Linked DNA regions of Macaca mulatta. The protein of the gene in region 2 purifies or fractionates together with the protein of the main gene of each other region. This does not show direct contact. Links are inferred from orthologs where the notes say so. Each region holds a gene or a part of one and is shown on either strand. Other genes may lie near its edges.

Region 1 (4,575 bases), on a different chromosome or scaffold from region 2:
TACCTTTTTAAAACTTTCAAATTTTATACAATGTGAATATATTACCTATTTTTAAAAATCTGTTCAATAAAAGTACTTTTAAGTGTCAGATACTGCTGGCTTTTTTTTTATTTTGAGACGGAGTCTCGCTCTGTCGCCAAGGCTGGAGTGCAGTGGCGCCATCTTGGCTCGCTGCAAGCTCCGCCTCCCGGGTTTACGCCATTCTCCTGCCTCAGCCTCCCGGTTAGCTGGGACTACAGGCGCCCGCCACCTCGCCCGGCTACTTTTTCGTATTTTTTAGTAGAGACGGGGTTTCACCGTGTTAACCAGGACTTTCTCGATCTCCTGACCTCGTGATCCGCCCGTCTCAGCCTCCCAAAGTGCTGGGATTACAGGCTTGAGCCACCGCGCCCGGCCTCTGCTGGCTTTTATACCACAGAAAAATATACCACTAAAGAAATGTGGAGTTAATTTTAATGGTACTTCACTGTAAATCTGGATCTCCTGTTCCAGTGCAGAGCTAGTCACCAACAGTACTGAACCTTTGCGAGGAATTCAACTGGAGTTCACCCAAACCCTCTATAGATGAGTTATTCTGCTGTTATCACTCCATTAAAATTTAAATAGCATTGAAAACAAAAACGTGATACTACAGAAATGAATGTGTCAATTCAAGAATGAAAAAATGGAAGTATATTAATGAGCTATAAAATATTAAAAGAACAATGATCCAAATACATCTTTGAAAATTAGCAAATCAACTAGATATACATAATATGTATATACTGAATGGATATACATATATTAACATGTATATATCGAATGTAAAATGCTGCAAATCAACTATACACACACACACTCTGAATGTAAAATCCTGCAAATTCCTTTAAAATGTAAACTGCCATGCTGTAAAAATGGGAGAAAGATGTCACGCACGGTGCCATCTGCAACATAACTTAAGCAGCTTGAACTAGAAAATGCAATATGATCTGTTACTGGACACAATTGCACAATCTCAATTACCCAGAAGATTCTACCAAACAGGAAATTCATGATGTGACTTTGGGAAACACAGAAATCATATTTAAAGATTAACACATCCAAAAGCCTGGAATTTGTTCCAAAACAAAAAACTATTTTACAGGCCCCTTTTCAAATGACGCATACAATACGAATTACTAAAACACAGAAAAAGCTAACAGTTAAATCTGATATTTAGTTTCAGATCCGTAGCTTTTAAATTATAGAAAATCTAAAATACAGGGTATAAAACCTTGAAAATTAGAGAGCAGTTAGTGAAATATTTCAGGTCTGGAAATTACATGGTATCGACTTAATTTAAAACACACTCACGGTGTAAATTAAAGCTAAAAAGTATCTCTTCCCTTCCTTTTCTATGTGGTTCCATATCCTTACGAAAACCATCGTGTACCTCAGGCCATAAATGCAGATAACTAGATAAATCCCTGCAAACTCTGAAAGGGACTTTTAAAACACAGTATTCGCAGGAATTATCTCAAAAAATACTTACAATACCTCCTAGCACTGTTAATAATTTTTTGATCTTGAGGGCGCCTTACAGATCTGAATCTTTCTTGCTCCAAATGAAAAAACTGTTTTGTCGAACAATACTTAAATGAGCAGTGGTATGTGACTAATCAGTGAGACTGCCAGTTTCTCAAGCTGCAGCGTTCTTGCAGGCACTACCACCGCCGCCCCTCCACAGAAAGGAAATACGCTTTCAACCGAATCGGAAACACACCACTCAAGCTGGCACAGTGTTCACCGAGATAAAGTCGGTATTTTAAGCTCTATGGATCGCTGCTAATTCAAGTGCGAATTCAAAAAGAACACTTCTCGAGATGGGATTTCGACAGAGGTTTGGGGAAAAAAAAAAAAAAAAAGGCCCGGAGAGAGCTCCCTTCCTGGTCAGTTTTGTTTAGATGACCGCAGTCTTCGGGTTGCGCTCTGCCCTTCTGCTTCTCCCGGCAGCTCCCCAAGCTTGTCTGCTCAGAGGACAGGGTCCGGCGCCACAGCGTGGGCGCATCGCGGGAGAGGGTCCTTCTGCTCCAGGTCCGGAGGGAGACCCCCAAGGAAGCAGCCCTTCCCCCGGTGCCTGCCGCCGAGCAGCAACCTTCCGAGAGGCGAAGGCGCAGGGTGCTAGCCAGAACCGAGCTCCAGCACCACCACCTACCTCTCGCAGCGGACTTGAGCGCTGCACACGGTGGACCGCAATACCCGCGTGAGTGCAGGGCGAGGGGTGCAGGAGGTGCAGAACAGGCAGAGCTCGAAGGGGCAGCAAGGCCCTCCCCCGAGGAAAATTCCTGCCACTTGACGCAACGCAGAGCAGTCGTGCAGGCCTGGCTCTCGGGCGCGAGGGGCCACCCTGCCCACAGCGGCCCCAGGCCCGGCGACACTCACCACACAGAGCCATAGGCGCCGGAGCCCACTGGAGACAGGTTCTGGTAACGCTCGGGCACCTCCCAGATTGTCTTGTTCAGCTCCTGCCGGTAGAACGTGGGCCTCTCCTGAGACATTTTCCAGCGGCAGTCGCCGGGTAAGAAGGTGGCCCTATGGGGCCCCCGCCTGCACCCGCACCCTCTCCCCGGCCCTTGCTGCCCGCCCAGCCGGGCGGGGACCTTGCGCTGGTCGCCCGCGCAGGTGCGGCTGCCGCGACCCCGCAGACTCCCGCGCGCGCGGCTGCTGTCAGCCGCCGCGGCTGGATGCGCCCCTGCGACTGGGGCAAGCCCCGCTAAGGGCAGGGACGCGCTCCGGCGCTCAAGGCTGCGCCTGCCGCGATCTCCCTGCACCTTCGTCCCTACAAGGCCGACTCCGAGCTGCGTCGCAGTACTCCGGATCCAGCTGCTGCGCCCGCTGAGGCTCCAGTGGTCGCGGTTCCACAGCCAGCAAACAGGAGCCTCCCGCAGTACTCTCGCGAGAACTGCTCCCGGGACTCTCCGAGAGCCGAGATTTTACCCAATATGGAACCTCTTCGCGGGCGGGGCTTCGTGAGAGGAGAGGATGAGAGGGGCAGTTCTCGCGAGAAGAGAGCAACAACTGGAGCCCAAAGGCAGAAACTCCCAGGAACTGTCTCCTTAAGGGCGCGAAGGCGGACCAGGGAAGGAAGAGATAAGCGGGCAGCACACGCCGCGCGCGCCCCACCGTGGCCGGCAGGGCAAATACCTGGCTCTGTGGTGGAAAACGACAGTGACAAATAGCGTGTCGGGGAAAGAGTCAAAAGATCTTTAACTGCGAGTAGTTACTAGCAGCGGAGCACCTGCTCAGCTGAACCCCCAAATTCCAAAAAACACTTGCATGAAAAAGAGATAGGTGGCAGGGCGCGGTGGCTCACGCCTGTAATCCCAGCATTTTGGGAGGCCGAAGCGGGCGGATCACCTGAGGTCGGGAGTTCGAGACCAGCCTGACCAAAATGGCGAAACCCCCGTCTCTACTAAAAATGCAAAATTAGCCGGGCGTGGTGGCGCGCACCTGGAGTCCCAGCTACTCGGGAGGCAGAGGCAGGAGAATCGCTTGAACCCGGGAGGTGGAGGTTGTGGTGAGCCGAGATCGCGCCATTGCACTCCAGCCTGGGAAACAGAAGCGAAACTCCGTCTCAAATTAAAAAAAAAAAAAAAAAAAGTGAGAGACAGGTTCTGGCCAGAAGGCTGTTGCATTCCCATCTGCTCAAGGACATATGGGTTACTCTACATGTGGGTTACTCTTCGAGATGCTGACGAAATATGTCCCAAAGGCAAATGTTAACCCTGCATCAAAGCTGAGGCTTTCCAGGGGCTGGGCGCGGTGGCTCACGCCTGTTATCCCAGCACTTTGGGAGGCCGAGGCGGTCGGATCACGAGGTCAAGAGATAGAGACCATCCTGGCCAACATGGTGAAACCCCGTCTCTACTGAAAAATACAAAAATTAGCTGGGCATGGTGGCTTGAGCCTGTAGTTCCAGCTTCTCGGGAGACTGAGGCAGGAGAATTGCTTGAATCCGGGAGGCGGAGGTTGCAGTGAGCTAAAATCGCGCCACTGCACTCCAGCCTGGCGTCAGAAGGAGACTCCGTCTCAAAAAAAAAAAAAAAAAAAAAAAAAAAAAAAAAAAAAAAAGCTGAGGCTTTCCATTCAAACTCTCCTAATAGTTCTTAAACTTACATGCAGAAAAATCACCCTGGGAGTTTAAGATGCAAGTTCCCAGGACTCACAGGGAGTCTAATTGGGTAGGTCAGAGGAAGGCATCAAGAGCATGTATTTTTATAATACATCTTAGGTAATTCTGATTCAGGAAAGTCTGATATCTCCCTTTGAGAAGCATTTAAAAAACCATTACACTGAAGATTTGAAACTGACTCCTACCCTGAAGAGCCATCAGTGAAGAGGATTTTAAGCATTCAACTCAGGCCTCTTCGAGTAAGGAGAAGAGGGCAGAAGTCTCATCGAATTTAGGCAAGTCAAATGACCTTTCCTGAACCTTAGTTCCAGCTTTTACAAGAGATTTCCTGCCCTGCATTCCCGACTAACAGAGTCATTTGTAAAAACTAAACAAGATAAATGTGAATGGGCAAGGCATTATAACCCCATGCCTACATCCATTAT
Region 2 (4,602 bases):
AGTTGCTGATACCTTGGGCATAACCAAAATGGATCAATTAGCTTTACAATTAAAGAGACGTAAATGTATAGAATTCATTTCCCTTCTTTATGAAGTCGGCCTCTGTCCTGAGAGAAAAGTCTTCCACAAAAGTAACAAACTCACACCTTCAACAAGTAGAGATACTAGTGATTTCTTGATCTTTGTCATCCTGTCCACTTATTTTGTTAATCTCCAAATGTATAGAAGCTTAGACCAAGGAGCTATGTTTGTTTCAGTTCTGATGAAAAGCCCTAACAATGTCATTAGATAACTGTGATAAATTTTAATCTGATAACAGCTTGTGACCCACAAATTGCTGTTTAAAATTAAAATGCATTTAAAATACAACTGGCAAGAGAACTATAATATTAAACTTGCAATCTGTTGTGATAAAACACCAATATATTTCACCATATTAAATATGAATACAATGAATATTCAGCATCTTGCAATTGAAATATAAAAATGTCCTTAAATGCATTGTCTTATTAAATTAAAATTGGTTGATTAATCTTACTTTTTATCTTTGTTTTGCAGTTAAAAAGTTGAAGTAGAGATGGATTGGATTGGCTTTGGTAATACACCCTTTGGCAGAGCTCCAGGTATAATCTAGGGCTACAAGCTTTTAGGTTTCTCATTTGATGAGCAAAAGTCCTCTATTTTTCTCATCCCAAATATTCATCTACAGTAAATTAAGACATGTTTTTCACATGCTTAAGTTTATTTATAACTTTTAAGATATAATTACTCAAGGTGTATTAAATGTTATCTTTAAACTCTTTTATATGTTAGTTTTGAAAAAAATGACTACACTGCTATTGTTGGCAGACCAACTAAATCATTGCTAACTTAGTAAGAATTGAGATTTTTCTGTAATGAATGTTTGTATCAGTCTATTATTAAGCAATACTATAAATAAAACTCAACCCAATGTGTATGTTTTTGTCCCATATTTCAGCATTGAAGAATTGTATGTGGTAATGAAAGAACTCACTACAGCTGTTTGCAAATAATTTAATAATCAAGTCATAGCTATTTTCTGGTTTTCAAAATGTACCAAAGAACTATTGAAAACCCCACAATATAACATCATAATTATAACAATTAACATGTGTATTTAATAATAGCTTTAATAACCCTATGCATTATATGCTCAAAAGATTCATGATACATTTAAATAATAGCATTAGCTGGAATAAGAAAGAACCATATTTCACTCCCACTATTGTACACAGAGAATAAAATTCACCCACTCTTTTAAAAAAGATACCGCAAGGATTGTAATTTCAAACAATTATTTTTACTCATTACCCCTAGAACATAGTATACGCTCAGCAAATGTTGGTTGAAGGAATGAATGGATATGTGTGATTGGATGAGAAGCACACTCAGGGAAAATGCCTAGTCTCTGGTTGTTACAGGACTGCTGCATGGACAACTGCTGTCACAGTAGGGTTTCTAAAATATCTCTGCCACATTTTATTTCGGTTCATGTGTATGTGACAATGATAAGGAATTCAGCCCAGCAAGTCCTCTGCATAAAATAGAGGTGCTATGTATCCAAAAAGCAGGGACACCACATACAATATCTCTCAGGTACTTCCCCAGGTTTGCTTCCACACGATACTTGATATTGATTCTGGTGCCTCAAATCTATTTATATTTGGGAGCAGTCTCACTGTTACTCTTGGTTACACCTTATCAAATCTGTCCTAGGGACAGTGCCTATCCCAGGGTTTGAACTGTAATTTTTATTTTTATTTATTTTTTAGTGCCAGCGGACGCTAGCCATGGTGCTGAAAGAGACAAGAGGATTCTATTTGAAACCTTTCCTTCCTCTTATTGGTTTAGAAAATTCGAGTGACAAGAGCAGGGGCCAAAGGAGCCTGGAGCAGCATCACTAATGTGAACCATGTATTTCGATCTTTTGGGCGGAGATGTGGTCCATCAGGTTACAGCCAATGCCTTCCTATGGGCGCTCGCTAGACCAAGAGACCTTAAGAATGTAGCCGCTGCAGTAGAAAAGCTTACATCCAGCAGAATGTCTTGTCCCTCTCCTGAAAAACTGACAGTTAAGTGCATAGCCTAGAAACAAGAGCAGGGAATCTAGACGGAGGGGAGGCGAAGGGGGGAGCAAACCTGCATTCATATTGAAAATGTTCACTAGTTTCGTGTAAGGTAAAGAAAAATCAAGATCTAATTTTAGCTTAAGTTTTCGGCCTCAGTTTTCCAACAGGTGCACGACTCCCTCACCCCTTTCCTGTCAGGTACTGTCCTGCTTTACCTTTTTGGAAAGGCTTTCTTCGCAAGGCAAGCTTTTCCTAGAGTCCTTAAGCATGTGCAGTTGCCCATCTCATGCACAGCTCCGGCTCTACGCCTGGCAACCCCTTACCTGCAGTGTGAAGATTAAGGAGCAGGCACAGCGCAGGGAAGCCGACTGCTCTCCACATAGTGTTTGCATTGAGAGGTGGAGGAGAAACTCCACCACGACCCCTCTTCAGGTAAAGTACTATTAGAAAGAGCCACCGCCAAGGGTCTTCTAGTCTCCGGGATTCGTTCGCAGGTCCTCGGCTGGGGTTTGCAGAGCAGTCAGTCTGTGGCGCCGACACAAACCAGCACCGGCTTCAACCTCCCTAAGAGAGGGAGAGAGGAAGAAGAGTAGGAGGTTGCGGGCAAGGGGAACAGAAGCGCTCAGAGGCGGCAAATGCCTGGCCTTCTGGACGCCCAAAAGCCAAGGCGGAGACGGCAGGGTGGACTCCGCGCCAGCCCAGCAGCCCAGCAGCAGCGCCGCGGCTACTGAGCATGCCCAGCGCCGGCCCTCACGAGGCACGGGAGTTTCAAAGTGAAATTCCGCTTCTCCGGGTCTTAGCGGCGGCTTGGAGCAGAGTAGGCTCCATCGCTGGGGTGGTGGTGGTGAGGGGTGGGGGAAGGGGGAAGTGCGGGGGAGGCGCTTGCTGTGGTTACTAGGGACCCAGCGTCCATCAAAAATCCGAGGGTGGGGTGTAGCTGGGTGAGAGTAGATAGGGGTATGACCAGAGAAGCCAGATGGGGGAGCTGATGACAGCGTCAACCATGCCACCCACCCTACTCTTTCCCCAAATCTTGATTTACAAGTGGACCGAGCTCACTGCCTAGAATTGGCGTTTGCAGATTGACCAGCTTCCCAGGACTCGCCTACAGGAATAGAGGTGTCTTCCACTACTGAGCATTCTGGCTGCTTGGGGAAAGCGTTCCCAAGGCAGCTTGCTTGGTGTAAGCGTAACCATATATCTCGCGAGCGCCTTCGTCCTTCCTACAGCTTCCCCCTCTTTGCTTCTCTTTCTACTCTTTCCAGCTCAATCCCTGTATTTAAACTTTCTTCTGACTCAAGTCCTCACAGTGTGACAGAAAGAAGTGAGACGATACTTTTAGACTAGTAGAATATATCCATGTGATTGAAGCAAAAGAAGGCACCTTTTTGTTTCATGGAGGTAATTATCTTTAGTTTCCCTTTTACTCTTTATGGTGAAAGATAATAGATCACTTCAGTGCCGGGGCTCATCCGGCCCAGCTCTGTGGGTCTAGGGAGGCTACCACAGTCTGCCTAATGTAGATGGTTTTTTATCCCCCCATCTAAGTCTTTGGAGTGTGGAAAGCGTTATTAGTCATGGCTAATTGCCGCTAGTCAAGTCAAGAAGGCCCTCAGCTAGACTTCTCTCTTTTAACTATCCCAGGGCCACTGCCCTTTTTGCCTCTGTGTCTTCATGGATGTTGTTGCGTCTTTCCTATTTTCCTCCACTTGCACCACTACCACACTAGAGTTTTCGAAGGTGTAATGTTGGTCTCACTTTTCCAGAAAGCCCTAACTCTAACTAACTCTAGATTACAGTGATCTTTCTCTTCCATAACACTTGTTTAGCAGTGCCTCATGTTATTCTTTCAGACAGTTCATTTATCTGTGGTTTGCTTTACAGCACATTGAAGGCTCCATAAGAACTGCTGAATTTTGGATTCCATTAAATTGAATAAAGTTGTCCTAGCCAAATAATTGGGGCTAACGAGTGCTCATCGAGTTGAGCTGCACATCTCATTCAGTGCTTTCTTTCTCCATCCTCTGTGAATTGAGACAACTAATGGGAAATAGGCTATCCACCAGAGCTTAAATTAGGTGGGACCTTGCAAGATCAGAAAGCCCAGACGGTACCATTTATATCTTTTATGATTTATGTCAGCTTCAGCTCTGAGAGCAAGGCCAGGAAGCACTCCAACAAGTGGAAGAGGGAGACAATGAGATGTATTTTTAATAACTTGACAGGCCTTCTCTGCTGAAAATAGAGACATATGCAGTCCCTCTCTAGCAAGTGCTGTACCCCCTACTCCCCCATGCGTGTGGCACACTCCATTTCTGTGGCACTATCATTTCACCCCAAACCACTCTAAGCTGCAACCTCTTCTCCTATTCCTGATTCACTGTCCTCCATTTTACTTTTCTACTTACATATCACTTTCTAACAAACCAAAATAATTACTTATAAAATCCATTGTTTAGTATCTATTTCCTTACTCCCCCAAAAATGGAATTTGAACTCCAACGGTGAAGAA

The links.
Region 1: the proteins of PTPRR (region 2) and MAPK14 purify together in Homo sapiens (affinity purification with mass spectrometry; 4 studies listed by BioGRID and IntAct, counting the BioPlex papers as one, with this or other methods). This does not show direct contact. The link is inferred for Macaca mulatta from reciprocal best matches to the Homo sapiens genes PTPRR and MAPK14.

What each region holds. Positions count from the first base shown.
Region 1 is NC_133409.1:146,226,594-146,231,168, forward strand, and holds the start of MAPK14 (mitogen-activated protein kinase 14), read right to left. Parts: upstream 2,867-4,575; 5' UTR 2,517-2,866; coding exon 2,401-2,516; exon of another isoform or gene 2,174-2,400; intron 1-2,173. UniProt on the Homo sapiens protein: Serine/threonine kinase which acts as an essential component of the MAP kinase signal transduction pathway.
Region 2 is NC_133416.1:77,999,330-78,003,931, forward strand, and holds the start of PTPRR (receptor-type tyrosine-protein phosphatase R), read right to left. Parts: upstream 2,820-4,602; 5' UTR 2,472-2,819; coding exon 2,414-2,471; intron 1-2,413. UniProt on the Homo sapiens protein: Sequesters mitogen-activated protein kinases (MAPKs) such as MAPK1, MAPK3 and MAPK14 in the cytoplasm in an inactive form.